Linked DNA regions of Lonchura striata. The protein of the gene in region 2 interacts with the protein of the main gene of each other region in a biochemical or structural test. Links are inferred from orthologs where the notes say so. Each region holds a gene or a part of one and is shown on either strand. Other genes may lie near its edges. The genes, in order: ERBB3, NCK2, LIMS1 and PDGFRB.

Evidence for each region.
Region 1: the proteins of NCK2 (region 2) and ERBB3 form a complex in vitro, tested with the Homo sapiens proteins (2 studies listed by BioGRID and IntAct, with this or other methods). The link is inferred for Lonchura striata from reciprocal best matches to the Homo sapiens genes NCK2 and ERBB3.
Region 3: the proteins of NCK2 (region 2) and LIMS1 form a complex in vitro, tested with the Homo sapiens proteins (4 studies listed by BioGRID and IntAct, with this or other methods). The link is inferred for Lonchura striata from reciprocal best matches to the Homo sapiens genes NCK2 and LIMS1.
Region 4: the proteins of NCK2 (region 2) and PDGFRB form a complex in vitro, tested with the Homo sapiens proteins (2 studies listed by BioGRID). The link is inferred for Lonchura striata from reciprocal best matches to the Homo sapiens genes NCK2 and PDGFRB.

Annotation. Positions count from the first base shown.
Region 1 is NC_134629.1:9,399,058-9,407,017, forward strand, and holds the start of ERBB3 (receptor tyrosine-protein kinase erbB-3), read left to right. Parts: upstream 1-4,942; 5' UTR 4,943-4,961; coding exon 4,962-5,049; intron 5,050-7,960. Other genes in the region: RPS26 (small ribosomal subunit protein eS26), read left to right, coding at 1,166-1,296, 2,667-2,702. UniProt on the Homo sapiens protein: Tyrosine-protein kinase that plays an essential role as cell surface receptor for neuregulins.
Region 2 is NC_134604.1:89,332,366-89,339,315, forward strand, and holds the start of NCK2 (cytoplasmic protein NCK2), read left to right. Parts: upstream 1-3,945; 5' UTR 3,946-4,273; intron 4,274-6,950. UniProt on the Homo sapiens protein: Adapter protein which associates with tyrosine-phosphorylated growth factor receptors or their cellular substrates. Maintains low levels of EIF2S1 phosphorylation by promoting its dephosphorylation by PP1.
Region 3 is NC_134604.1:90,285,293-90,293,279, forward strand, and holds the start of LIMS1 (LIM and senescent cell antigen-like-containing domain protein 1), read left to right. Parts: upstream 1-4,987; 5' UTR 4,988-5,278; coding exon 5,279-5,460; intron 5,461-7,638; coding exon 7,639-7,798; intron 7,799-7,987. UniProt on the Homo sapiens protein: Within the IPP (ILK-PINCH-PARVIN) complex, binds to F-actin, promoting F-actin bundling, a process required to generate force for actin cytoskeleton reorganization and subsequent dynamic cell adhesion events such as cell spreading and migration.
Region 4 is NC_134617.1:6,433,974-6,440,952, forward strand, and holds the start of PDGFRB (platelet-derived growth factor receptor beta), read left to right. Parts: upstream 1-3,965; 5' UTR 3,966-4,330; intron 4,331-6,979. UniProt on the Homo sapiens protein: Tyrosine-protein kinase that acts as a cell-surface receptor for homodimeric PDGFB and PDGFD and for heterodimers formed by PDGFA and PDGFB, and plays an essential role in the regulation of embryonic development, cell proliferation, survival, differentiation, chemotaxis and migration.

The DNA.
Region 1 (7,960 bases), on a different chromosome or scaffold from region 2:
TTTCTCACCCCAAAAAAATAGTTCTTCTCACCCCCAGTCCCAAAAACTCCAATCCCAAAAATCCCAAAAACTCACCTGGATCAGCCCCATAAACACCCCGCAGATTGACCTGGATCAGGCTCCGAAAAATCCCAAAATCTCACCTGGATCAGGCTCAGAAAAATCCCAAAAACTCACCTGGATCAGGCTCAGAAAAATCCCAAAATCTCACCTGGATCAGGCTCAGAAAAATCCCAAAAACTCACCTGGATCAGGCTCAGAAAAATCCCAAAGACCCCCTGGATCAGCCCCAAATAGTGTCCTTGTTACCCCAAAATAAAGTCCTTTTTATCCCCCAAAAATAGTCCCTGTCACCCCCAAAAAATAGTCCTTGTCTCCCCAAAAAACAGTCCTTGTCACCCCAAAAAACAGTCCTTGTTTCCCCAAAAAACAGTCCTTGTCACCCCCAAATAGCCCCTATGGCACCCCAAAATAGTGCCTGCCACCCCCAGGGTCCCTGGCTGTATTTTTGGGGTCCCTGGATATGTTTTTGGGGGTCCCCGAGTGTATTTTTTGGTGTTTTTGGGGTTCCTGGTGTGGGGTTTTTGGGGTCCCTGGATGTATTTTTGGGATCCCTGGCTGTGTTTTTTGGGGTTTTTGTTATCCCTGGATGCGTTTTTTGGGGTTTTTGGGGTCCCTGGGTGTGTTTTTTAGGGTTTTTGGAATCCCTGGTTACATTTTTGGGGTCCCTGGTTACGTTTTTGGGGTCCCTGAACCCCGTTTTCCCCCCCCAGCCTACGTGCTGCCCAAGCTGTACATGAAGCTGCATTACTGGGGGTGTTTTTGGGGTCCCTGGGTGTGTTTTTGGGGTTTTTGTGATTCCTGGTTACATTTTTGGGGTCCCTGGGTGTGTTTTTTGGGGTTTTTGGGGTCCCTGGTTACATTTTTGGGGTCCCTGGTTACGTTTTTGGGGTCCCTGGTTACGTTTTTGGGGTCTCTGAACCCCGTTTTCCCTCCCCAGCCTACGTGCTGCCCAAGCTGTACGTGAAGCTGCATTACTGGGGGTGTTTTTGGGGTCCCTGGGTGTGTTTTTTAGGGTTTTTGGGGTCCCTGGGTGTGTTTTTTGGGGTTTTTGGGGTCCCTGGTTACGTTTTTGGGGTCCCTGAACCCCGTTTTCCCTCCCCAGCCTACGTGCTGCCCAAGCTGTACGTGAAGCTGCATTACTGCGTCAGCTGCGCCATCCACAGCAAGGTGGTTCGCAACCGCTCCCGCGAGGCCCGCAAGGACCGGACCCCCCCGCCCCGCTTCCGCCCCGCCGTGAGTCTGGGGGGTCCCCGAGGGGTCTGGGGGGGTCCATGAGGGGTCTGGGGGGTCCTTGAGGTGTCTGGGGGGGTCCATGAGGGGTCTGGGGGGTCCCCGAGGGGTCTGGGGGGGTCCATGAGGGGTCTGGGGGGGTCCATGAGGGGTTTGGGAGGGTCCCCGAGGGGTCTGGGGGGGTCCATGAGGGGTCTGGGGGGGTCCATGAGGGGTTTGGGGGGTCCCCGAGGGGTTTGGGGGGGTCCATGAAGGGTTTGGGGGGTCCCCGAGGGGTCTGGGGGGGTTTATGAGGGGTCTGGGGGGTCCCCGAGGGGTTTGTGGGGTCCCTAAGGGGTTTGGGAGGGTCCCCGAGGGGTCTGGGGGGGTCCCTGAGGGGTTTGGGAGGGTCCCTGACGGGTTTGGGGGGTCCATTAGAGGTTTGTGGGGTTCTCAAGGTGTCTGGGGGGGTCCCCGAGGTGTCTGGGGGGGTCCATGAGGGGTTTGGGGGGGTCCATGAAGGGTTTGGGGGGTCCATGAGGGGTTTGGGGGGGTCCCCGAGGGGTCTGGGGGTGTCCCTGAGGGGTTTGGGAGGGTCCCTGAGGGGTCTGGGGGGTCCATGAGGGGTTTGGGGGGTCCCTGAGGGGATTGAAGGGTCCCAGGTGTGTTCAAAAGGGGTTTGGGGGGGTCTCTGTGGGGTTGGGGGTGTCCCCGATGGGTTTGGAAGGGTCCTGGAGGGGTTTGGGGGGGTCCCAGGGCGGTTTGGGGGTGCCCCAGGCTTCTTTGGGGGCATCCCTGAGGGGTTTTGGGGGGTCCCCGAGGGGTTTGAGGGGTCCCAAGGGTGTTCAGAAGGGTCCTGGAGGGGTTTGGGGGGGTCCCCCAGGGGTCCCAGGGGCTTGGCGGGGTCTGGGGGTGTCCCTGAGGGGTTTTGGGGGTCCCTGAGGGGTTTGGAGGTCCCAGGGATGTTTGGGGGGGGATCCCCAAGGGGTTTGGGGGGTCCCAGGGGTGTTGAGAAGGGACCTGGGGGGATCCCAGAGGGGTTTTGGGGGGTCCCAGAGGGCGTTTGGGGGGGTCTGGGGGTACCTGGAGGGGGTTTTGGGGGTCCTAAAGGGTTCTTGAGGGGGTCCCAGGGAGCATTTGGGGGGATTTTGGGGGCACCAAAGGGGTTTGGGGGGGTCCTTGGGGGTCCCACACAATTTAGGGGATCCCAAGGGGTCTCAGGGGGTTTTGGGGGGTCCCAGGGGACGTTTGGGGGGGATCCTGGAGGGGTCTGGGGGTACCTGGGTGGGGGTCCCACACAGTTTTGGGGGTTCCTGGAAGGATTTTTGGGGGGTCCCATGGGTCTGTGCCCCCCCCCCCCTCCAGCCCCCCTAATTTTGGGGTTCTCTCTGCAGGGAGCCGCCCCCCGCCCCCCCCCAAAACCCATGTGAGGACCCCCGGTGAGGACCCCCGGAGCCGCGGGACCCCCAGAGCAGCGTCAATAAAGGATCTGCCCCAGCCCGCTCGTTTTGGGGGGATTTGGGATTTTGGGGGGTCCTGAGGGTGTTTTGGGGGGGATTTGGGATTTTTGGGGGGTCCTGAGGGGTCTCAGGATCTCCCCCAGCCCGCTTGTTTTGGGGGGATTTGGGATTTTTGGGGGGTCCTGAGGGTGTTTTGGGGGGATTTGGGATTTTGGGGGGTCCTGAGTGAGGGGGTCTCAGGATCTGCCCAAACCCGTTCGATTTTTGGGGGGACTCGGGGTTTTGGGGGGTCCTGAGGGGGTCTCTGATCTTACTCCGTGGTTTTGGGGATTTGGGGGGGCTCCGGGTTCCTCCAGTGTGGCCTGGGGGTGTTTGGGGCCAGACCCCCCGTTTTTGGGGCCAGACCTCCCCCATTTTGGGGTGTTTGGGGCCAGACCCCCCCCATTTTGGGGTGTTTGGGGTCAGACCCCCCGTTTTTGGGGCCAGACCTCCCCCATTTTGGGGTGTTTGGGGCCAGACCCCCCGTTTTTGGGGTGTTTGGGGTCAGACCCCCCGGTTTTGGGGTGTTTGGGGTCAGACCCCCCCCATTTTGGGGTGTTTGGGGTCAGACCCCCCGGTTTTGGGGCAGGACCCTCTCCGTTTTTGGGGTGTTTGGGGTCAGACCCCCCGGTTTTGGGATTTTTTGGGGTCAGACCCCCCGTTTTTGGGGTGTTTGGGGTCAGACCCCCCGGTTTTGGGGTCAGAACCGCCGGTTTTGGCATTTTTGGGGTCAGACCCCTGCCCCCGTTTTGGGGGGGGTCTTCAATGGTCCCTACCTCCCCTCCCCCTCCCGTTCGATTTTTTGGGGAGGGGTCTCGATGAGACCGGGGGGTACAAACGGGGCTGGGGGGCACCGGTGACCGGACCGGGGGCATGGAGAGGGTGAACCGGGACCGGGGGTGTGAACGGCACCGGGGGCACGGAGGGGGCGAATTGAGACCGGGACCGGGACCGGGGGTCGGCGGGACCGGGCGTGTGAACGGGGCTGGGGGCACCGGCGACCGGACCGGGGGCTCGGACCAGGACCGGGACTGGGGGATCTGAACGGGGCCGGGGGCACCGGGAGTCCGGAGGGGCGAATTTGCTCCGGTACCGGGACCGGGGGTGTGAACGGGGCCGGGGGCACGGAGGGGGCGAATTGAGACCGGGACCGGGACCGGAACCGGGACCGGGAGTGTGAACGGGGCTGGGGGCACCGGCGACCGGACCGGGGGCTCGGACCAGGACCGGGACTGGGGGCACCGGGAGTCCGGAGGGGCGAATTTGCTCCGGGACCGGGACCGGGCGTGTGAACGGGGCTGGGGGGGCACCGGTGACCGGACCGGGGGTCCAGAGGGGGCGAACCGGGACCGGGACCGGGGATGTGAACGGGACTGGGGGCACCGGGAGTCCGGAAGGGGTGAATTGACACCGGGACCGGGACCGGGGGTGTGAACGGGACCGGGGGCACGGAGGGGGCGAATTGACACCGGGACCGGGACCGGGGATGTGAACGGGGCCGGGGGCACGGAGGGGGCGAATTGAGACCGGGACCGGGGGTCGGCGGGACCGGGCGTGTGAACGGGGCTGGGGGCACCGGCGACCGGACCGGGGGTCCAGAGGGGGCGAACCGGGACCGGGACCGGGGGTGTGAACGGGACTGGGGGCACCGGGAGTCCGGAAGGGGTGAATTGAGACCGGGACCGGGACCGGGGGTGTGAACGGCGCTGGGGGGCGTACCGGGAGTCCGGAGGGGGCGAATTTGCTCCGGTACCGGGACTGGGACCGGGGGCGCGGCGGGACCGGTGGTGTGAACGGGGCTGGGGGGGCACCGGCGACCGGACCGGGGCTCGGAGGGGGCGAACCGGGACCGGGGGATGTGAACGGGGCCGGGGGCACCGGGAGCTCGTAGAGGGCGAATTTGCACCGGGACCGGCACCGGGACCGGGCTGGGGGCGTGGGGGCTTCACTTGACCGGACCGGAGGGCCCCGGGCCGGGCCGGAGGCGCCGCGCGGGGCCGGTCCCGGCCCGGTGAGGGCGGCCGCTGCCGGTGCCACCGCCCCGGGCGGGTCCCGGGAGGGGCGGGGAGGGGCAGCGGGGTGTCCTCCCCCCCTCCGCCATCCCCGGCCCGGCCCGGCCCGGCCCCGCCCGCCCCGGGGCCCCGCGCCAGGTGCATTCCCGGGCACGCTCCGCCGCTACCGGCGCCCGCGATGGAGCCGCACCGGGAGCGGCACCGGGCGCTGCTGCCGCTGCTGCTGCCGGTGCTGCTGCTCCCCGCGCCCGGCTCCGCGCAGGCAGGTGAGCACCGGCACCGGCACCGGCACCGGCACCGGGGGCAGCGGGGCTGCGCCGTGGGATCGGGCACAGGGGAACCGGGGAAGCACCGGAGCGCTCGGGGCTCCCGGGATGGGCGGCGGGAGCGGGAGCGCTCGGGGGTGGCGGCGGTGCTGCTGTCCCGACTCCGCCGGTACCGGACCCCGCTCCAATCCCGGTAATTCCCGCGGCTGTTTCCGCCGCGGGGGCGTCCCGGGATCCCCCGGTGCTGCCCCCGGGGGGACCGCACGGCTCCGGGGACACCGGGACCGGCGCTGAAACCTCCCCGGGACTGCGGCTCCGGCGGGGCTGGGGCTCGGTGGCCGCTCCCGGGGCTCGGTGCCCCTTTCCGGGACTCGGTCCTTGGCTCGGTGGCCGCCCCCGGGATCCGTCCTAGACTCGGTGCCCCTTCCCGGGGCTCGGTCCCGCTCTCGGTGCCCTCTCCCTGATTCGGTCCCGGGGCTCGGTGCCCCTTTTTGGGGCTCGGTCCTGTTCTCGGTGTCCCCTCCCGGGGCTCGGTGCCCCCTCCCGTTCTCGGTGTCCCCTCCCGTTCTCGGTGTCCCTTCCCGGGCTCGGTCCCGTTCTCGGTGCCCCCTCCCGTTCTCGGTGCCCCCTCCCGGGCTCGGTGTCCCCTCCCGGGCTCGGTCCCGTTCTCGGTGCCCCCTGCCGGGGCTCGGTCCCGTTCTCGGTGTCCCCTCCCGTTCTCGGTGTCCCCTCCCGTTCTCGGTGTCCCCTCCCGGGCTCGGTCCCGTTCTCGGTGTCCCCTCCCGTTCTCGGTGTCCCCTCCCGGGCTCGACACCTGCGGCCCCGCAGCTGCCCGGGCTAATTTTAGGCTGCGGGGCCGAGCCCGGCGATGCTTTTGGGCTCCGGGCGGGACCCCCGAGGGGGGTCGGGGGTGGGGGGGATCCTTCCAGCGGGGGACCCCCGGAGGATCCCCCCGGTGCCGTCCCGCGAGGCCGCCCCGCACCCCCGGTACCCCGGAAGGGCCGCGGCCGCCCGGGAGTTGTTTTTCAATCCCCAAAGGAAAAACACCGAGGGCTGGACGCGCAGGTGGGGCCGGCGCCGCCCCGAAACACCGGGGGATGCCCGGGGGGGGTGCCCGGGGGTGCCCGGGGGTGGGGGGCACACCGGGGGGACCCCTCGCTGTGTCCCCCGCTCCATGTGCCACCGGCGACGCTTCGGGTGCCACCCACGGGCTCCGGATCCGAGGGGACAGAGGGAGCCTCGGGGACACTCGGGGGGCTCGGGGACACTCGGGGGGCCCGGGGACACCCCGGGGACACCCCGGGAGCGGCCCCAGCTCTGCACCCCCCAAACCCCGGCTCTGAGAGCCCCCTTTGTTCGGGGCCCGGCACGCACACAGCCCCCTTTGTGCCGCCGCCGGGACCGAGGGCAGGAGGTCGCTCCGAGCCCCTCCCGGTGCCCCCCGGTGCCCCCGGTGCTATTCCTGGCGCCGGGGGCCGCGGTGGCACGCGGTTGATAGCGGGGACGTGCCGGAGCTGCCGGCGGGGCCCCGCGCTGATAACGCCCGGTCCCGCCGCCGCCGCGGCGCCCGGGGGGAACCGGGGGGGTCCCACCATCGCCGCCCACCCCCCCGCGGGCAGGTGCAACCGGGGGTCGCGGCCCCCCAAAATCCCCCCGCGGGACCCTCGGAGCCTTGAAGGTGTCGGTGGGTCATTAACGGAGGAGCCGGCGGACAGGGCTGGATGCTGCCCCCCGGCACCTTGGGGTCCCCCCCGGTCCCCCCCGGTGTTTCACGGGGGTCGCAGCACCCCCCGGCCCGGGCTCCCCCCGTGCCCCTCCCCGGTGCGGCGGGGCCCGGGGCCGCTGCCGTCGCAGCTGGGACCTTTTTATAGCCCCGTTCCCTGCTCAAATGGCCCGGGCCGGGCCGGGGGGGCCCTTCCCGTGCGTGCCCCGAGCTCCGCCGCCGCCCCCGGAGGGGTCCCGGGCCGGACAAAGCCGCCTTTGACCGCGGCCCCCCCTCCCCGCGCCCCGGCCTGAGTCACGGCTGGCGGATCCGGGGGGGCCCCGCGCCCCTCGGTGCCCCCGGGGGTCCCGGTTTGGGGGGCGTCCCCCGCCACAATCGCGGCTTTGTGCGGTGCCGGCCCCGCGCACAAAGGGGGCCCTGTGCGCCCGCACGACAACCGGGGGACCCCGAGCCGCCGCCCCCGCCGGGACCCCGCAGCGGGGCGGGCGCGGGGCTCGGCCCGCGGGGCGGCGGCGGCGGCGGGGCCGAAGTCCGGGCGGGCGTGGCGGGGCCGTGCCCGAGGCGCCCGCCTTGCGCAAGGCTCGCCCGGCCGGTTCGGGCACCGCGAGCGGGGAGGGACCGCGAGGGAGCGGCGGGGGAGGACCCGGGGCGGGGAGAGCGGCGGGGAGGGGGACACCGCGGGCTGGGTGACACGGAGGGGACACGGCCACCGCGGGCTGGGTGACACGGAGGGGACAGGGACATGGAGGGGACAGGGACATGGAGGGGACAGGGACACCGCGGGCTGGGTGACACGGAGGGGACAGGGACACCGTGGAGGGGACAGGGACACCGTGGAAGGGACAGGGACATGGAGGGGACAGGGACACCATGGAAGGGACAGGGACATGGAGGGGACAGGGACATGGAGGGGACAAGGACATGGAGGGGACAGGGGCGTGGTGGAGGGGACACGGCCACCATGGAGGGGACAGGGACACCGTGGAGGGGACAGGGACACGGAGGGGACAGGGACATGGAGGGGACAGGGACATGGAGGGGACAGGGACACCGCGGGCTGGGTGACATGGAGGGGACAGGGACACCATGGAAGGGACAGGGACACCATGGAGGGAATAAGGACATGGAGGAGACAGGGGCATGGTGGAGGGGACAAGGACATGGAGGAGACAAGGACGTGGTGGAGGG
Region 2 (6,950 bases):
TGGGAATTGAACATATGTTTTAAGCAGAAACTAAATATTTAGTGATGTAAACCCTTCAAGATTTTTTTTTTTGAGAGAAAATATACTGACAGAAGTTTTCTGTTATTTTCTGTTATTGTTGTTTGTGTCATTAAAATTAGCATTTTTTCAGGTTAAGGAGAATTTAAAATCCCCTTTTTTCTTCCCCAGAATGCCCAAAGATTTTTATCTTTCCATTTGTTATTGATACAGTATCAACAATCACACATGTATAAATGGAGTTTATTAGACTATTGTTATCTTTAAAAGGCAGTTTTGAAAATCAGGAGTAGGGGCTTTTGAAAGAGGTTAATCACAGAATCGTAGAATAAATTGTTTTGGAAAGACTTCTCAGATCATGGAGTCCAACCTATATTAACTTAGATTAGGTATATTTTCATCCCAATAGACTAACACAGAGTGACAAAACACCTTTTGCTGTCTACCTCTGAACTGGACAATGTTGTTTTCCAGATTTTCAACTTACCAGTCCCTCTGTCTCACATCCCTGCTAAAGTGTATCCCTATGGGAGTAGGTATTAGTTCAGACTCTAGATAGAGCAGCTGGTGAGAAAACCTGATGCATCTGGAGAAAAGATCAGGTATTTGTGCAGAAGGAGCCACATCTGGGAGGTGGTTGTTCTCTCCTGCCGCATTGTGTGTAAACACATTAGTGTGGTTTGGATCTGCATGGCTGGGATCCACATGTTCGCATGCCCATCCTGTGGAAGCCACCGCTCTGCCGGGCCGGTGGTAAAGCCCAAGCAGCAGCACACAGGGGAAAGAAAATGGGTAGTCATGAAAAAAGAAAGGCAAAAAAAAAGTAAAGAACTATAAGCCAAAAGACATGCTATTATTTTTTTTTTAGTGCCTTGTGCAAAACATGAACATCAAGATGAATTGACTGCCATTATATAATTGCAAAATAGGTCTATCACACAACCTCTGGGTCTGGGGTTTGCATGTAGCCCTATTTGAAACAGTGGTATGAGGCATGCTGTTTCTTTGCCAAAGACATAGATACATATTTCTATTATTCACCCATTTTTTTCTCTTTTTAGTATATAGTTATGGCCTTAGGCTGGGAAAAATATTTATGCTCTTCTCTACGGTGTATATGTTTTGTAAGGACAGCACCACTCTTATGCATATGCAAAAGTGCATGCTTTACATATTTACTTTCTTTATACAAAAGTGTGCCTGCCACATCATGTACTGCTTTCACTTCTGTGCATATTCCCCCCAATTTATCATCTTCTCATATTTAGAATGTAATTCTCACTCAAATCACAAGCAGCCAGCTCTTCTTAATAACAGTTATTTCAGAGATAACAGCTAATTATGACATTTTAAAAGGCATACATTAATATTTCAGTAGGCTCAATGTTTTGAAATACTACTCAGGGCAACATCTTGGTTGTTTTTGTGGGGAAACCTAAGGATTCATTCAGCAAATAGGCAGTTAAAACATCCTTCAACATATAAACCCTTGCAAACACTTTTTACAGTGTATTCTGTTTGTCATAAGCCACACTTTGGAAAAAACCCCAGCTTTAATGGATCTCTTCTTAATGCAATTAAGTATATTTAACAACAGTATGCTTCAGAGTCCTTAAATTAGTCCTTTGCCTCAAGACAATGTATTCATCCAAATCCCTCCCTAAAACATTCTTATTCTGCAAATCCTATTAGCATTAATCTGCTAAAGTTAGGTGTGTTTTATCATTTTTTTTCAGATACCTGGAAAGCTTTGAGAGCTACCGCTCATTCAGCAGCTAATGGTCCCTTCTAGAGGTCTTAGCCCAGAAACTTCGAAGGGTCCATGCCACCTTGCCTTGGACATCCTCAATTCAACAGCGAATAGGGAAAAAACCAGAGGAGGATTTATTGTGGGATGGCATTAGCAAAGGTGTGGTAAGAGGGACAAAACTTGAGACCAAAACCTAACTGTATAGTATAAATGCAAAGGATGGAAGGGATAATTCACCTCTCTTTTATCTCTTCCACAGTGCATTTTGTTCTAGAAACAACAGAGACTTTTATCTGAAAGTCCTTGGATGACCGATCCCATTTAAATTCAGCCTAAGCCTGTGCAGGCTGGAGTGATGCCTAACCATGCTGTGAGGTGGAGCCAGCAGGGACCCCAAATATTTTCCAGCTCTAAAAAAGCATGGTCAGATTATTGTTTCAAAAGGAAGATTAATACCTCTCTGAAGTGAAATTAAATGCATGCACAAAAACACAGGAAAGGGGATTTCTGTTCCTCCCCGAGGTGCATACAAAGTCTTTCTTGGAAGAAAGAGGTGGCTGCATTTTCCTTTCAGGTTTATCTCACAGGCAAGTGAAAGGCACTTGGAACTTCCCAAACCACCAATTAAGTGCTGTAAGAATTTGTAAAAGTTAACAAGGGGAAGAGGGAGTTATTTGAGGATTTCTAAACCATTTTAAGCAGGAGCATGGAAAGATGGCCGAGCACACATCTTTGTCTCAAGATCTCACTACTATATTAAGCTTGGTCACAGAAAACAAGGTGGCAGGGTTGCTGACTTTAATTTGGATTCAGAGTGGTGTTTCCTAGTCTTGCCTCCAAAGCCAGGAATTGTCTCCTGAGAAGAACCAGTATGGATAACACTCCAGCCTCCTCGCCCTCGGAGCTGCCATATTTCATATGTAAAGATGTATGTATTCGTATGTAAATACGGCATGTAAACATGCCAAAGGTTTACAATATTTTAGAGTGGCTTCCCCCTTCCTTCCTGCCCACCCCGAGGGATAATATTTCCCCATAGCCTAGGGACACTACTGGGGGGAGTGTGCCAAGGGGAAAGCACTGGAGCTGGCAGGTTGGCTATTCCCACTAGAGACCAGGGCCACGATGGGATGCTTCTGTCCTCTGCCTTTAATCACTCGTGGAGATCTTTCCCGTGAGTGGAGAGGCACAGCAGGTAGCACGGGCTGGACATACACCCAGCCACGGGGCTTTGTTTCAGAATTGGCTTACTCCAGAGACTGGCCTGAAGTGTGTCAGGGGAGGTTTAGGCTGCATATTAGAAAAAGTTTCTTCACCAATACGGTGCTTGGGCACTGGAAAAGGCGCCCCAGCACCAAGCTTCACAGAGTTCAAGAAGCATTTGGACAGTGCTCTCAGCACATGGTGGAGTTACTGAAGTGTCCTGTGCTTGGCAAAGAGTTGGGCACGATGAACCCCGTGGGTCTCCTCCAACACAGGATATTCTCAGAATCTGTGGCTTGGGGTGGCTGCCGTGCCCACACGCTCTGCCGAGGGCACAGCACCTACCAATTACCGCCCGACCGGCTGATGTACTGGGCACCGAGGCTGAAACTTCGCCCCGGGCCGGCAGGGAAAAGAAGGGCCGGGAAGAGAAGAGCTACGGCTGCGGCCGCCCCGCGGCTAATGGGCGGCGGCGGGAGCGCCCGGTATCGCGGCTGGAAATTCCCCGGCGGCAGCGGCGCCGCGCTCCCGGCCCGCGAAGCGCCCGGCCCGTGGCAGCCCCGGGGCGAACCCCGGCGCGGCGCATCCCCCGGCCCAGCCCCGAAGCGCGCACATCTCCCCCATCCCCGGGTCTTTCAGCGTTCGCCAGTACTTTTCCCGGGCGCTTCCGCTCCCAGCGGGGCAGCTTCCCCGGGTCTCATGGGGATGGAAGGGGAAGGAGGTGTCAGGGCGCTCGTCACGGGCAGGGGCCCCTTTGCCCCGCCCCGCGGTCCCGGAGAGGTCCTCCCGCAGAGGGGAGGGAGCCACCCAGGCTGTCCCTGCCCGTCCTTCCTGCGCTGGGGCGGGGGAGCAGCGGCCCTCCCGGCGGGCAAGGGGGAGCCCGGAGAGCTCCTCCCGCGCGATCCCGGCAGCGGCAGCGGCAGGAAGGGCAGGGCGGGGGCGGGGGCTGTGCCTGTGCCGGGGGGGGGCGGTTCGCGGAGGAGGGGCCGCCGCCGCCGCCGGGCGCAGCAGGCAGAGGGAAGGCAGGGAGCGGAGCTGCCGCCGCCGTTGCCGCCGCCGAGGGCCGGGGCCTTGGACGCGTCCGGTGAAGAGCGCGGGAGGAGAAGGAAGGGGAAGCGGGGGGAGCCAGCCGGCCCCTCTCGGAGGACGCGGCCCGCATCCGCCCGGGGAAGGACAGAGGGAAGCGGAGGGGGAGCGAGCGGGCGCCGCCGCCGAGGAGACAAAGAAGCGGAGCCCGCCTGGGCTGGGAGCCTCCCCGCCGCTGCTGCCCGCCCCGCTCCGCTCCCCGCCGGCCGGCCGGAGGTGAGCGCGGCCGCGGGCGGGACGGGGATGGGGCCGGGGCGGCGGCTGGGGCCCGCCGCAAACTTGTGTCGGCCGCGGGGGACGACGCGGGGAAGGGGCGTCGGGAGCGGGGGAAAGGCGGGTGTCACCTGTGCGGCCGAGGCTCCGCGGCCGCCCCGCGCAGGAGGGGCCGGTACCTGCCGGGGGCGGCCCGGGGGGCCCGGAGCGGGAGGAGTGTTCGTTGTGCCACGTCCAGTTGGGGGGGGGGGGGCTGGGGGCGGCTCCTCTTCATCCTCCCGAGTTGCCGCTCGTGTGTGTGCGTGCGTGTGACAGCCGCTGCTTTGTGCCGCCCGGCCGGGGGGTAGCGCCGGGCCGGGACGCCACCCCCGCACCCCTCGCGGGGCTCCGGTGAACAGGGGCGGTGGATCCGGCGGCCGGGGCAGCGCCGGGGGAGGCGGGCAGCGCCTCCCGGCCGGAGCGCGGCGCACCCCGAAAGTTTCCCGGGCGGGAGCGGGAGCGCCGCCGCCCCGCGCGGGGACCGGCGAGCGAGCACGCCGGGCTGCGGCGGGGACATCGCCCTCGGTCCGCTCAGTTCGTTGTTTTTCCGTCACCGACTTTCGACTTCATAGGGCTGAGGCCGCGGATTTTCTCAAGGAGCGCGGTGCGCTATGGCCTCGGTCGATGCCAGTATAGGTAAAGGACATAAAGGTAAAATTACACCTCACGTAATGAGTGTTCAGTGAAGCGCATCCCTGCGTGTTTTGGGAAGAAAATTACTGAAGTTTATAAGTCTTCTCGCCCTGTTTTTAATTAAAAATCTGCCCAGCCTAACAGCTGCCCCTTGCTGGCAGGGTAGGCACTTTGGCCTATCTAAGATCAGGTTGCCAGATCGGGATTCAGTTTTGTAGTTCAGGTCTGACCTGCAGCTGGCTGATCATGAGAGCTCTCAGCTCTAGTTTCTATGTTAATATCTTCCACTATTTTTTAACAGTGAATGTGATTCTCTGTGTGCATAAGGGTTTTTCCGTGGATTCTGTGTAGTATTTCACTCTGAACTACCGTGTTTTTGTAAAACAAAGAGAAACCTTTTGTTGTTTTAAAAGTTGTACAGTGACTGAAAGTCGGCAACAATTTAAAGCGTTCTTCAGCTTGAACAGCGTTTCTTCCCATGAAGCTTTTTTCTTCTGAGGAACGTACTGCTGCTGTTCTAGCAGCTTAACGTGGGAGAATTAGACTTATCTTTCATGAAATGTGGTAGTGGCCCTTTGTAAAAACAAATTTTCATGGCCTAACCATGCGTGGTTTGTATCATCGGGAGTTTGGACTGGTAACTTAATATGGAGGAATTTGAAAGGACTCACTGGGTAGGAGATTATGAAGTATTTCTGTTTGAAAGTACTTGTTTTGTCGTTGCTTTTTAGGAATCTGAAGCAGCACCACATAGATGATGTTAATGGTACTGTGTTTTCATTTTTAGGATTATAATTTCTGATGTAATGTTGCTTCTCTGAAATATTGATTTCACAACTCTGGAAATCGAAAGCCTCTGTCTCACCCAAGTGTGTTTAAGAAGTTAAGCAGATTGCTTTGTCTTTGTAACTGACTTTCTTCTTGTGACTTTGACAGAAGATGTCACTTTTGGGAACAGTGAATAAATGTAGCAATAGAAGGCACCCGTACCATGAAGATCAAGACTGTAATTAGCAAATATTTTTATATAGGCCATGAAACGGAGACAGATTCATTATAATGTTAGCTCTTGTTGCTGTTGTTCTGTCGTCGCAACATTAGCTGTTGCATTTGCCTCCTACTTCTACCAGATTACAGTTCGATTGCTTTTGTGAAAAAAAAAAATTATACACAAAATCTCTTTTGCATTATTTTCCCAAAACTAATAGCGGAGTTAGCCCTTGATAGTGTGGATGATCCTTTTTACTACATCCAGACTACTGAACATATGATAAATTCAGAAGTTCAGCCTTTGCCTTGTTGCCTTACAGACAGGGAACTTACCTCCCTTTCCTCTCTTCTCTGTTTTCTTGGTTAGCTGTCTGAAAGCTTAAGGAAAGGTGTTTGCACTCTTCCATGTCACCTCACATCTTCTGCTATATAAAGAAGAGGGACAAGGTCAGCCGTGTCTGCTGCTTTTCCAGCCTTTGTTTTATCTGTGCCTTGTGTTGCTGTTGGTATGTTAATCCTTTGCAGTTCTCATGGCTTTCCTCAGTAGAAACTATAACAGTAGCAACTTGAAAAGTGATACCCAGATAGCTCTGTTTGCTGGTCGTGGTCTTGAGCAGCAGCAAAACTACCCAGAGTATCTGCATTTCTCATGCTCCTTGAGCATTAAAGCTGCTTCCAGACTCATGGAGACAGGTGCTGTATCAATTTACTTGCAGCAGGTTTGAAATCAAAACCAAGGCATCTTTGAATGTAAAGCATACGTTCTAGAAAAATATTTTCTGTTTGTATTGAGGGACTGATGGTTTCTAGGCTGTGGGTATTCCCAAACCCCACTCCTGCTGTGTTTTGAGGAAGGGGAATTGCTGATGTGGATTCATTAGAGATGTTTGAGGGAGTTTGAAAACTGAAACCAGGCACTGCTGTGTTTTGGTTAGTTCAGTCAGCCTAGGGGTGAGGTGCTGGGTGCTCGTTGCTGGACACCCTGCTCCCCCAAAGTAGGTCATCTGGTGTGTCAAAA
Region 3 (7,987 bases), about 950 kb from region 2:
AAACATTGGTTCCACATAGTGCAGGCAGATGACTCAGGCAGAATCAAAGGCTGGCATTTGCCTGTACGCTGAGGATTCAGTGGAGGATTTTTGGTGGATGTCAGTGACAGATGACATGAACTGAATATTTGTGCAAGGAAGCCATTACCCTAAAGAGAAATACGTTACTGCATTTTAGAATCATAGAATCATTTAGGCTGTAACAACCTCTTAATATCAAGTCTAACTAATAACCCATTACTGCCAGGTCTACCTCTAAACTATGTCCCCAAGTGCCACATCTACATGTCTTTTAAATAGTTTCAGGGTTGTTGACTCTGCTCCACTTCTCTGGGCAGTCTGTTCCAAATGCTTGACGCCCCTTTGCATGAAACAAAAAAAAATAATGTCCAATCTGAACTTCCCTTGAAGCAACTTGAGGTTGTTTCTTCTTGTCCTGTCACTTTTTCAGAGCTTGGTGGACTTGATTTTCTCTTTTCAGGCTTGAAAAGATGGTTCTTTTCACAGCGACTGTCTCAGGAACATTTGATGTGCAGCCCCTAGAATTAAGTGGCTGACCTTTTTTATTATTCTTAAATTAGAAATGAGGATGTAAGTGTTATATGAAATGCATCAGTGCAAATGTATCCTTAAAATTTATAGAGTTGGAGGAATTTGGATACCATAATGAAATAGACTTGCAGTTGACTACTCAGGTGCAGATTTCAAGAATAGCCAATAATGTGCTGTGTCACATGCAACACAAAATTATTGGAGTTCATGAGCTTCTCATATATGGTACTGTTTGTTTTATTTTTCCTGTCTGCACAGGATTGAAGGAAACAGTAGTGTGGGAGGACGAGATGAATGTTTTAAAGAGTATCAAATATCTGTACACAGAAGTTATTACTTGGTTTATGCTTCATTTGGTAATAGATGTAACCAGCAGGAAGAAAACACAATACTTTGCTGAAATATTACTTACAACAGGAAAATGCTGTAGTTGCATATTGCTCTTCCTTTATATAAATTCTGTCAGAGACTGATATTTCACTGTGCCTGAATGACTGATAAACATTGTGTGGGAAGCTGCTGCTTACCTGTCTATTCCAGTTATATTTACTTCCTTATGGAGAGATGGAATGTGAACCTTCTCTGTTTATGGAGACCAAAGCATTTTTTGGACATGTTTATACTAGAATAAATTTATACTGGAGGATATGAAACAACTAGAATTGCCTTTTTGTTTGCCCTGTTTAAACTCCCACCACATAAGCTTAATTATGTATTTTGAGGTGAAGACTAAAGAATGAAACTTTCAGGAACACTCAGAATTCACATGATTTTTACTGCAGTGTTTTCAAGATGGTTTTCCATAATTTTTAATAGAAGAAGTAGTTGGAGCAGTGCTGAGCACATGTGAAAATCCAACCTGTAAAAATGTGCATTTTAATTATATAAAATATTAATTACTTTTTTCAAACTGCCTTAGGAGACCAGAAAGTATTTTATTGCTTAAGAGATAAACAATTGCAGCAACCAGAACCCAAGAGTGTTTTTAATTTCAATAAGAAACCCTCACAAAAGGTCAACTAGTGCTTTGAAATGTTGGTGCAGAAATCAGAGCAGGGCACTGCAAGCCCACGCGTCTTTTGCAGCCAAACTTCTTTTCTAGGTTGTTCTGTATTTTGCGTGTGAGAGTCACTGCACAGCATCTGTTACTGCATCATTGGAATGAACCCACTCGTGCCTGCGGGGGAGGAGGTGGGATGCACTGTGCTTGTTCATCCCCCGCCTGTCCCCGCGGGTGTTTCCTCCCGCAGCTGTATGTCCCGGTGGCACAAACAGGTTGCCAGGCAGCAGCTGCCTTTGCCAAGCACCTTGTTTGGAGCCGTGGCTGCTCCGCACACGGCTATTTGTGGCACGGAGTGAAATGCTCAGCGGGCTTGGCTGGCCACCGAGCCGTCACTGTAAGAGTCCCTGTCTGCCCCTGGCAGCCGCCGGCATGGGCAGCCAGGCTGGAAAGCTGTGCAGCGAAAGCAGCGTGGAGTGAGGCGGCAGTCATCCTTCAGCAGGGATTAGGCAGTGCGCCTATTTTTGCTATTGTTTACCAAAGCCCTTCTGGTAACCGCAGTGGAACACTTCTCCCTCCCTCTTCTACCATTTCCTTCAGCACCTTCCCTACCATCAGTTTTGGCTTCTGATAAGATCTTCAGTGTGCCAAGAGGAGATTGTCTTTTTCTTTCATACCTGTCTTTTCTAGTTAAACGCCCAACTTCTTCTCCCTAGCACTGCATCTTTAACAATAGGCTGCTTGCTGTGTTTTGTCCCATATCCCAGGGAATGCCCTTGGGAAGCTGCTGCTGCAAAACAACCCCTTACATACTTCTCACTCTCCATGGACAGCTTCACCTCAGAGTAACCTAGAATTCCCTCATGAAAATGAAGTGTATTTTTAACAATGTATTTCAGATCTGGGCAGCATGCCTCCTATAAAATGTCAGAAAAGAGAAGGATGGCCAGCTGCTCTGGATTATCAGACCTTCACAGTAGAAGCTGTGTTTTGCTTCAGTAGCATAAAGGCCCTTTTAAAACTCTTGTTAAGCTCCTTCTTGTTTATTAGAAAAAATTTGGAGTCATTCCTCCAGCAGCAATGGTAATATGACTGGAGAACCAGACAACTTCTACTTACTGCACATATGGAGTCCTGTTACTTTGAAGGACTTGCTCCTGACAAAAACTAGGAAGATAAAACCAGGCTTTTTGGATGGACATCTTACTGCACTAACTTGCTGTACTACTTGCTTTGCTACAGCCATGCAGAAGACTGCACAGTAGCAAGGTGAAGGAGCAATCAAATGTTTTCTTGTTGACCAAAGAGAATATGAGGCAGCAGAAGTTGTTTCCAACCACATTGGTCACCTGTGGATTTCAGATTACTGCAAAACTGTAGTAGTCCACCAGGAAAAAGTCTCTATGGGGCACTTTTGATTTACAGCAGCATCTTCCCAGGAGAATTGTCTGTGATCTGGGACAAAATACAGGAAAAGAGTTGGGAAATTGTTGAGAAGATAGTGATAAGAGGAAGAGGTAGGCTCACTTGCTGTTTATTATCTTAGTGGCTTCATTTATCTTTACTAATCCTGAATAAATCAGCATTTTTAGTCCACTGTAGTCAGTCTCACTGAAGTTTTTTATGCCCACAGAAGCTCAGCACTGACCTGTGCAAAAAGTGTTGGGAAGCAAGATGAAGAAGAACTGGCATCACTATACCTGCATGTCTGTTGGCAGTCTGCACATTTTCATCACTCATGCTTCAGAGAATGCAGAAACCTTTTCTTCCAGGACTGCAGTGGTGCTCTGGCAAGATCTTTTTGGCCTTGGGCTAGAACCTGAGCATTGCTTCATCTGCAGTGTGCCCTATGACAGATAAAAATAGGACTTGAGCTGCAGCCAGGCTGTGTCAGTGGTGAGGGTGCAGCTTCCTTAGCCTGTTAGAGCTTGACTTCTGGTAGCTCTGGCATAGGGTGAATAATCACACCTACAGACAGGCAGATCAGCAGGGTCATGCTGCCTGGGTCCCACCTACGCAAGGAAATAGCTTGCCTAGGGGGTTGTTGCTCCTTGTTGAGGGGAAGTGAAGGGAAGACACTGACCAAACCCATTCCACAAATTTGTCAGCAGAAGCAGCAGCGTGGGACTGTGTTGGCTGAGCTGTAGGAAGGTGGCTGCATGCAAGCTCAGGCCTGCATGGAGAGTGGCGTGTGGGCTGCTGTACGCTTGCTGAGCAAGCTGTCTTAGGTGGTGGTGAGAGATATGGCCAAAAAACATCACCAACCAGACCCTCTGTGGTAGGTCCTAGGGAAGGTGCAGGTATATTAAGAAATTGTAGCCTTGACTGGACATTCTGTCATATCCTGTGACAGTATAAGCGGAAATGGCCTCAGGTTGTACCAGGGAAGGTTTAGATTGGAGATCAGGACAGATTTCTTCATGGAAATGTTGTCAAACACTGGAACAGACTGCCCAGGGAAGTATTAGCATCACCATCACTGGTAGTATTTAAAAGATGTGTAGATGTGGCACCTGGGGACATGATTTAGTGGTGAATGTAGCAGTATTAGTTTAATGGTTATACTCAGTGGTCTTGAGGTCTTTTCCAATCTAAATTATTCTATTACTCTCTGATCTTAGTTCTAGTTTCTCTATTTGTTCCTGGTACTCATCTCCTTCTTGTCATCCTCTGCTTCCTCATGCCCCCTCACAGACTAGCAGATTCTTCAGCTGCCAGTGTGCTGTGTGTCATGAGCACAAAGTGCATGCAGTTCTGCAGTTCAACTGGTTGCTAACAAGGCTGAGACAGTTCAACACAAAAGTTAGTTACTCAGGGGGGCTTCCCAAAAGCCTTCCTTTTCTGCAGTTATAAAGTGCTGGAAGCCCACAGGCACTGTGCCACAAACACTGCGCTTCAAAGAGGGAGAGCTTGTAAGAGTCTAATTATTAGCTGTAAATCTTACTTTAGTTAGTGTTCTTACATTGGATAGTTGTTCTAAATGCAGCACATCACTGGAAATAAAGCTTTGGTTTTCCTCCTTCATGTATTGTCCATTATGGCATGCCTGTCAGTTTTGTTAATGGCCTGAGAAACAGAACAGAAATCAAACAATCTGCTTGTACCTTCCCCTTGTCTGAAGTACTGAGAAGAGGAAAGACATACATAGATAAATTCAACACATATGACTTAAAAGACACAAGTGGAGCATTAAATGTCATTTTTACAATGTAATTAACACACTATAGCATTAAAGCAATATTTACCTGGAGACAGGAGTCTTCTGATCCTGCTTTCCACTGTTGGTTTGCCCATGATAAAATATTGTTGGACTCTGCCTTCACGCCCCCACAGCATAAAGAAGCTGCAGCCAAGTTTGGTGATAAACTTATTTGCACATAGGTTACTCACACCACAGCTCTCCTGGGCAGCTTCTGTCAGCAGCCAGCAGCGAAGACCCTTTCCAGCATCCGAGTTTACATGAGGGCCTGGTGAGGGGAGTGTTCTCTGTGCACAGCCAGCCTGCGTAAATCTCAGCGTGACAGGCTCCCAGCCCTGCTGCTGAACTTTTAACTTGAAGCTCTAGCAGGGTGCTGAGTAGCTCCAGCTACATGACAGGAGCTGTGAAAGTAAATCACTTCGCTGGGAACAAGGGGAAGTCCAGCATATTGTTTTGCGGACTTTGCCTACAGTTTGTTTGCAGTCTAAGCATAGAATATATACACCTGGGAAAGCAATCAGAGCGAGATGGACTTCCAACGCAGAGCTCAGCCCTTCCCCATCCCAGAGGATGAAGAGGTTGCCTACAAGGTCACTCCTGATGCTCACAACTCCGCAGGAAATGAAGGCGAGAAACCGGTGTCAAAATTGCAACGTAGGCACAGTGAAATAAAACTCTACAAAGAGTTTTGTGATTTTTATGCAAGATTGTAAGTTTGTTCTGTTCAGCTTCGGGGTGTAACTGCAGTGACATTACTGGTGTATTGTACATAATATATTTTATTATCTGGGGCTCAGGCTGTGCAAGCTGTTCTCTCATTCAACCTTTGCCACTGTTCTGCTTGAAACATTGCCAGTTGTAACAACTAAAATTTGAATTGTTGCTTTAAATTTCATCATGAATTGCATCAGGAATTTTTATCAGCAGTAAAAATGGTGTTGGAATTTTTAAAGTAGTCTCTCTGCCTTCAGGTTGTTTGCCAGTTATTCTGGGCAAATGGATAAACCGCTTCATTAATGCAGAAGTATTACATACTTCACTAGTTTTACATATGTGATGTGTTTCAAAGTTAAGCACTTTTTCCTGAAGAGGGAAACTGTTTTTACTTGGTTTTGAACTTTGTTTCATGTTTTTGCTTGGATTGTACTTTACGTACATCAGTGCTTAGAATCCTTAATGCTCAAGCACTGTTGAAGTGATGATGAAAGATCCCAGTTTCTCTTGTGATTATTCTTCATTTAGATTGATAAGGAAGATGGGAAAATTGACTGAGGTTTTGCCCCACAGAAAGCATACACAGTCAATGAAGACCATTGATGACCTTTACAGTTGATCACAGTTTATATGTATAGTCACTGCAGTTTGTCCATAGGTCTGTCTGTTATTAGGGGTTAGACCATCCTGTGTCTGATCTTCATGTGAAATTTGCCCACTCATTTCACTGTGAGGACAGTGGATATTTGGATTGCAGTTACCGTTTTCCTCATCTGCAAAGATCAAGTGAGAGAGAAAAAAAAGTGCTAGCTAATAATAACATGTCAAATGTGACCTTGTGTAGGGCTCTTCTGTGAGACAGTGTAAGAAATAGATAAAACACATTCCATTTTGAACCACGTGCTAGGTGTTTGCTTGCTCCCTTGGATAGTGTGCAAGGAATGAATTCAATTCCTATTGAACATGGTGGGAGCCCAAAGGTCTTATCCCCTTGAAGAGATAAGAAGGAAGGCTTGGCATCTTACAGAGGACTGTGGGCTCTGCACTTACAGGCACAGCATGATAACTTATCAAAATGCGTGCCTGCATGCATATGTGTTTCAAATAATGTCACTTGTCTAATAACCTTCCAGATAAATATTGAGTCATTAGTTTTCTCAGCTGACATCCCATTTTAATGAAACTAGACCATTGCCCTATATTTACTTTCTGTTACCACATGGTATTAAGGATGATCCTGAAAGGCAGAGTTTTGAGAGCCTAGATATGAGTGATGGAATGTTTGCAAAGGGAAAACCAAAAGAGCCTTTTGCTGGCTTTAATTAACTGAAAATCAGCTATACTGTCTTCTGCAGATGTGGACAGCTACCACACTGCCTTTTTTTTGGTCCTGTGCCTTTGAGAAGCAACCAAGGTTGCTGTTTCAATATTTCTTTGCATCCCTGGCATGGGTCGCAGTGGGGCAGCCAGAGCATTCCCACCCTCTCCTCCCCCCTAGCCTTGGAGTGGGCTATGAGCTGGCACATGATCAGCCGAGCTCCCTGAGATAAACCCTAACAAAGCAATCAAAAATCCCATGATTTCAAACTAAATTTGTAAAATGACTTCAAGCTATGCAGAGCTCATATAAAGGATAATTATTTAACTACTCTGTTTTTCATTAATATCTGCCAGACTAGATCCTGCACACTCTTTCACATTGTTTATTTAGAGCTCTGAACCAATGCCATTATATATGTATAGTTTAGAAGTTATATATGTATGTATTAGAATTGGTTTACAATAAATAATTTATGTTTTACTGTGTGATGCCAGTCCTTAATCATTAATATTTGCCCTTGTTTTCAGTCATTTTAATGTATATCATAATTCTTATAGTACTTTGAATTGCCTTTTTTCATCATAGAAAGCCTGTAAATGTGTCTGAAGAGACAAGGTTTCTGTTTGGGGTTTTCAATTAATTAGAGCATATCACAGGGATTTTGTTTCTATCTAAAGAGTTAGGGAGCAGGGAGATGCCGCAAGCTATGAAGTTCATGGAAAAACTTGTGCTGAGCAGCTTATCATTAGGTTGGTGCAGTTTGGCCTGGTAGAGCAGGGGAAAGACTGATGACCAGTGTTGTTGTCTACTTAGGCTAATTTTCTTTCTTTTTTTTTTTTTTTTGAATGACAGCAACATGGCGAACGCGCTTGCAAACGCCATCTGTGAGCGCTGCAGGGGGGGCTTTGCCCCTGCCGAGAAAATTGTGAACAGCAATGGTGAGCTGTACCACGAGCAGTGCTTCGTCTGCGCCCAGTGCTTTCAGCAGTTCCCCGAAGGGCTCTTCTATGAGGTAAGTGGGGCAGAGACCCCTGCTGTCCCCATACCCCCTCTTGAGCCTTCATTCCCATAGCAGAAGTAGCTACAGGCAGGTGGATAGCTTAGAAAGTCCCATGAGAGTATCTGGGCTCTAACAGAGTATGCCCAGTAAAGGGAGAAAAAAACCAGAAGCATTTCTGTGCTAATTTGGAGGACATCCATG
Region 4 (6,979 bases), on a different chromosome or scaffold from region 2:
AAGAGGGCACTGGGGACAGGGACACATGCTGCCAGCCCTCACTGCTTCCCAGCATGTGTGGGCCCTGCTCTCAGTGGGTTGGGTGTGTGACTCCCCCTGCACTGCTGGCGAGCGTCCTGGTTTCACTCCTTGGCTGTGTTTCGGGCACGGGGCAAGCAGAGGGTTAACAATTCCCACATTAAAGTGGCTGCAGATGTGTGGGAAAGTCTGGGGCCAGAGGACAGCACCGTTATTAGTATTCACCCAGGAGCCTGTCGCTGCCTCCCGGGGCTCTGCCGAGCACATTTAATACCAAGGTTCGTGGCGGGGGTGAGGAGGAGTGCGTGGGACGGGGTCGGAAAGGCCCCGAGGTGGGGAAAGGCAGCAGGATAACATCGTCCTTGGCTGCTGCCTCCTCCCAGTGCCCCAGCCCAGAGGATGTAGGCAACGGGCCAGCACCCCTAAGGACACAGCACAATACATGGGTACAGCCCAGTGTTACCTCCTGACACTGCTGGCACCCTGTGGTGTCCATGGCCAGGGTTTCCAGTGCTGCAGGAGTGTTCCCAGTGCTGGGCAATGCTGCAGGATACTCCACAGGATGCTTCCCATCATGTTATGCTTGGGCATGCACTCACTTTGGAAGAAGCCCAGCCCTTTCTGCCTCCCCTTCTTCCCTGGGCACTGGTGTCACCCACCCAGTGCAAGCAGGACCACACACACACACACACACACAGACACACACACACACACACACGGTACAGGCTCCTCAGGGCAGAGCTTTAGAGATGCTGGATGAAGCCTCGGGGCAGCTCCCTGCAGGGCCCAGGGGCTGCATCCAGCCAGCAGCATGTGCTGGCAGCTGCCACAGCAGATGGGCTGCCCAGATGTGGTGCTGTGCTCCCTGGCACCCGCCACTCCTCTCTTGTGCTCTGCAGCTTCACACCACTTCAGAGCAACGCTGAAATTCCTGGGCTGACTTGGAACTGATAGAGGCTCTGAAAAACTGAAGCTGGAGAAAATCTGGCCCTCATCAAACCTTCAAAGGAGTGGAGTAGGCCAGCACCTGCTGCTTCTTTTGTACCTGCCTGTCACCTGCTGGCACATGGTACCTGTTGCTGACTCAGCATGGTTGTTTCCACCATTGTCTTGGGTCACCTGGCTCTGGTCTCTCTCCTCTATATCAGGCTTGGGATATGGGCTTTTCTCTGTGGTCCCAGCTCTGCCTGGGATGGGGCAGGAGTTCAGAGAGCTGCTTTTATCCACGTGATGCAAGAGCAGACCAAATACCCTGGAATGTCCTGTTTCAGTGGTTGATTTCCCTACCAGAGATGCTGCACTACATGACCCCAAGCCCCCATTAGCACTTAACAACGCTTATTGAGGCTGGAGATCTCAGCTGAGAGGGGTCTGGCATCCCACACTGCAGCTGTCCCAGCCCCAGGGGGACCACTGGGTCCTGCAGCACCACGAAACACCAAAAATAGAGGTGAGCAATGAAGGGCTGATGATGCTGAAGTAGCAGAGCTGCTGCCCTCCACCCCCACACTTGCACAGGCGAGTTCCTCTGGCTTTGGTGCTTCCTCTGCGCTGGCCTTTCCCAGGAGCTGCTGTAACCCCAACGTGCTGTTCCTAAACAAAATGTGCGGCTGCGGATGCTCCCTGGGGATGTACAGAGTGGGCTGACGTGTGCTTGCCGGGATGCTTTGGGCTCCCCAGGGCTCTCTCAGCATCCCCAAACAATGAATCCTGGCCTTTGCAAGACTGGGAGGTTTTGTTTGCCAGATTCTTCCTGGACCCAGCCTGGAGTGGGTATTGGGACCATCTGTTTGCAAAGGACTGAGGGAAATACGTCCCACTTCAGGCTCAGGATGCTCTACCCTCAAGCATGGTCTGTGTCATCTTTTCCACCCCCTGCTCATCCCAGGTAGCCCATCCCCAGTGCAAGGGGCCCAGCAGGATTGCAGCAGTGGGTTTCTCCCTCTCCCACTCTGCCTGGAACAGTCACGTCCTTGGAGCGGGGACACTGCCAGGAAACAGCTCTGCTGAGCAATTCCCAGCAGCCCTTAGGTCCCCACATATGGACCCAGCAGACACATCTTTGTCCCTCGGGAAAAGCCCTGGGAAGAGCCATGTGCAGAGCACATCCCTCTGCTGCCTGCCCCCCACACGAGCTGCTCTCAGCTCGCTGCCTCCATTTCTGCACAGCAGCTTGTCTCAGCCCGGGGGCTGACAGGGCCCCTGGCACAGCCACCACCAGGTCTGGAGCTGGGGGAATCCTTCCAAGCCAGGGCTGCATCCCTCCTGCAGCTGTCCTGCTGCCAGGCACAGCAGCCCCATGCCATGAGTGGCACACAGGGATAGCCTGGCTGCTGCAGCCTGGCTCTCCTCACACTCCACAGCTGCACAGAATAAACACCTCCCCTTTGGTTTTTGATAGATAAAAAGAAAACATGGAGATAATGTGAGGTAAGCAGCAAATCTCTTGGGCTGGTCCAGCCAGGGGATCATTCCCTCTGGCCATTGTGCAGGCATTGACTAGCTTGGCAGGAGGGGATGAGTCTGCCTTGCAAAAAAGGCAGAAACACAGATTTCAGCAGTGTTGTCATGGAGAGGGCTTTTTAATTCTTAGAAAGGAAAATTAAAGGAAGATGGGCAGGTATCTTTTCAGGATAGCAGTGCAGTTTTGAACTATTTCTTATTTGGATCAGAGAGAAACACAGAATGGTTAAGGCTAAAAAAGATCTGTAAGATCATTGTAAGATCATCTTCACCACTAGGCCATGTCCCCAAGTGCCACATCTAGACATTTCTGAACACTTTTGGGGATGGTGATTGCACCACTTCCCTTCGCAGCCTGTTCCAATGCCTGACCACCCTTAAGCATCCCCAGGATGAAAATCTTGGCAAGAACTGATGGATCAAAGGCAGTTTTCATCCAAAGATAACCTGTCCCTTGTTACAGTGCTAAAAAAAATTGAAAAAAATCCACTCTGCACACATGATAATGTTCTGCCTACTGAAAGTTTCTCAGAAACTTGATTTGAACTCCTTAAGAAGCTGGGAGGATTTAAAACTGGTTCATCACGTGGATTCCATCCCCCAGGGCAGCAGGGGTGTAGGACATCTGAGATGATGGCATGGCTGAGGTGACCACTCCTGCCACCTCTCCAGCTCTGTGCCCTCAGCAGCCCAAACAGCGCCAAATCCCCAGCTAAACCCACCCTCGCTGCAGCATCCCAGCTGCAGAAAGCCTTTTATCCCCCTTTCCAAAAAGAAGAAGAGTTGCAAGGGTGCGTTGGTGGTCCCCAAGGGGCAGTGGCCAGTCGGGGTCAGGGGCCAGGAGCGGCGGGGCCGGCACAGCTCAGCACAGGGAGGCATCGGGGGAGCACACGGAGTCAGCTCAGTGCAGGCCTTCTTTAATAAAAACATGAGTCAGCTGCTGGCGTGGGCAGTGGATTTTCTAAACATCCCCTCATATCCTGAGAAAGGGGAAAAAAAAAAAAAAAAAAAAGAAAAAACGGGAGGGGGGGGGGGGGCTAGAGGGGGGAAAAAAGAGAAAGAAAATAAAAGAAAAAGAAAACAGAGGGAAAGGCCAGAATTGAAAGCAGACACAGGGAGAGGGCAGCTCCTTCCCTCCGGTTTAAGGAGGCGATAGTCGGGCTGCTCCGGGCTCCTTTTGTTCCCTGTTAGCCGGGCCCTCATCGCTCGCCCCATCTCAGCCCGCAGCAGAACTCTCCTCTCCTTGCAGCCACTTTGGCTTCTTCTCCTTTTATTTATTTTTTTTTTTTCCTTCACCCATCACACTCGTCCGCCGGGCGTTAATCGCAAATTCTGCTCCGCAAAGGGTCCCCACAGAGGGTGGAGGGAGGAAGTCGGAGGAGCTCCGCTCCTCATTGGCGAAGCAGCCTCCCCCCTTCTCCTCCTCCCGAGGTCTCTTTTATTTATACACGCACGCACACACGCGTGCACATCCCTCGGCCCCGGGCTTTGCTCCACGCTGGGGTCCGAGGAGGCAGAGCCCCCTCCCAGCTGGGCTGGGGCGGCACAGGGCACTGCTCGGATGCACTAGAGGAGCAGAGCAGGGGCTTGGCTGCAGCCCAGCCTTGGCACAGCCTTGCCTCTCCTTTTGATTTTATTTTATTTTCCCCCCGCTCCTCCCTTCCACTTCTTTCTTTCCCTCTCTTTCGCCTTTAAGTGGAAAAGCCTTGCCAGCTGGGGAAGGCTGGGAGGGCAGGGAGAGCCTCAGCAGGCAGCAGATAGAGAGTTTGGAGGAGGAGAGGGAGGAATTTCGGAGCCTTCCCGGTGGGACGTGCGGCGCAGGCACTCGGCTGGCGGGACCCTGCTCAAGGTAAGCTCTTGTGTCGCCCACCCGGGGGCTGGCTCGCCCTCCTGCTCAGCTCTGGCTCTCCAGATGGGAAATGTCGTGTTGGACCTGGTACAGCCCCGAAGGACCCTGTCCCTGATCCGGCCCGGCTGCTCTGCAAGGGGCTCTGCTCCCCTCCAAGGGTTGGCAGCCCGAAACGCCCACCAAGCCCTGGGGAGATGGTGTTTGGTGGAAAGCAGCTGAATTCTCCGGCATCCCACGGGAAGGAACACGGCATCAGCTCTCACCAGCCCCTGGGTGGGGATGGCTGAGAGGAGCGAGGGGATGCTGCGGCTGTAGGACAGGAAGGGGGGACCCCACTGCAGTGGGAGTAGGGCCCAGGTGATCTCTGCTTCTCCCTGGATTGGGGCTAGCCCTGGCTCTGCAGGATGGTGGCTGTGGGAGGGCTGGGGTGTGCAGGGGTCAGAGGCTGTTCGCCATGCCAGTGAGATATCCTTTGGAGTGTGAGTGCAGAGCAGTGTCACCCCTGTCATTGCCAGCCTGTCCAAACACACCCATGGCCATCAGGCTGCTCCAGGGACCGTGTCACCTCTGTCTGTGGCCATGGCAGGGCTCCTGTGCCTGTGGCATGGAGAGGGACATGTGCAAGCCCTGCCCAGGGTCTGTACCTGGGAGTGCTGCATACTGGAGAGGGCAGAGCTTGGTAAAACTCTACTAGGCATAGATGTGGGTGGCTACTCTGCTGTCCTGAGAGCACAAGAGCTGAGGGCCTCCAGCAGGGCAGAGCTGGTCTGGAGTGAGGCTCTGACAGCCCAGGAACAGGGGTGAGCATGACCTGCGGAGCTTTGGTGCTCACAGTGGCCTTAGAGCATCCAGCTCCTGCATTCACCTGCCAACTGGGAGTCATTCAAAACAGGATTTGTGGTGGAAAGGGATGTTGTGCTTTTCCGTCCTGGTCCCAGAGCAAGTGGGATTTATGCTAAAGCATGGGGAAAGTAGCTTAAAGTAGTTGGTCTGGTGTGCACACCCTGTGCTGGCAGAGGCTTGGCATTCCCAAATCTTTTCAGAAGATCTCTCATTGATGAAAAGGATTAGCAATGTTGAGACCCAGTGCTTCCCAGAGGCCATTGAGGGGTGGCTGGGAGGGTCATTCCCCCTCAGCACCCTGCAGGACAAGATGCTTGTGCCTCCCATGCTCTTGGGGAAGGAGTGAGTTTCGTGTGGTCAGTGAGCCAGTGTCAAGGACGTGTCTCTGCCTGGCAGAGGACACAGGCCAGGCTGGCTTGGAGGAGGAGCTGCCAGGCAGCTGCCCTGCTTGGCAGCCCTGGCCAGGGTCTGACATGAGGCTTGGAGTCACTTCTTGACAGGGATGTCACCCAAGCTTGGGTGTGCTCTGGCTGCTGTGGCAGCCACCAACCCTGGGCAGTGTCCCTGAGCCCAGGAAACACCTCTAAATCAGTCAGTGCATCGGGGGGATCGGAGTTTTGGACAAGCACCAAGTCACAGCATGCACAGGGCTTTTCCTAAAGCTGGCTGTCCCTTCCTCCAGCTCAGGACTATGGAGGGTCCTCATAGAAGGAGCAGTCCAGGAGACAACAGCCACTCATGTCCCTGTCCCTGCATCACCTCCTGCATCCCTGCCCAGGACTGGGAGTGCGGGGTGCCCGTGGTCAGTGTGCAGCAAGCACAGCCAGCTGCACTACTGCAGTCTGGGAGAAGTTAGCCATGGCTTATTGTCCACAGTCCTGGGCACATCTTGTGGTGTGCTGCAGGGCTCTGGCCTGGGCTTGGTCCTGTGCAATCCCTGCATGAACCACCTGGGAGGTGGCTGAGCACACATCCTGCACCCTGGGGTGGCACTGAGCTGGGCGGGCAGCTGTGTGTGAGGAGATGCCAAGAGCTCCAGCAGAGTCCAGAAGCGAGCAGAGTGGCTGTAGTGGACACAGACCAGATTGCAGCACGGTGCCAGGAAACCCAAGCTCTTCCTGAGGGATGCACTGGAAGATGCATGGCTGGAGGCAGCTCAGAGAGGCAGGGTGGATGGAGCAGGTCCTCCCCAGCAAGTGACACCAGGTGCTTCAGCAGGGATAGGTGTGGAGTGGATGGGCTCAGGGACAGCAGTGAGGATGATGAGATGTCCAGAAGAAGCTGCAAAGGACTGGGAGAGGGGTTGATGTGGCTCGTTGGTCACTGGGTGTTGTGGGAAGGTGACACACAGCTTCATGCACAGGAAAAGGCATCACAGAGAGAAAAGAGATTTTAGGAGGAATATCTCTAGGTTTAAAACAGAAGGCTGAGTTCCTTCAGCATCACAAGTCTCAAAGCACACGTCAGGGAAAGCTCTGGCTGGAAGACATGGGCACAGGACAGTGACACCATGATCTCTTTCAGCCTCATTTTCAATGGGTCTGTGACAGGATTTCCAAGGCATTCAGAACAACTCTCTCAGGGAGAGGAGAGCACCGAGCCTGTCTGCAGGAGCAGAGCAAGACAGGATTGTCTCAGTGAACACCAGAGGAAGGCTGAGATTAAGAAATGCTCTCTAGCTGTGGGAGTAATGCCATGCAAAAAGAGACCATTGGCTGGATATGGCATTGGCCAAGTGTCCAGCTGCTGCCAGAGGCTCCAGGCAGAGACTTCTCTGCTGGTCCTCAAGGTTCCTTTGGCCTCGGT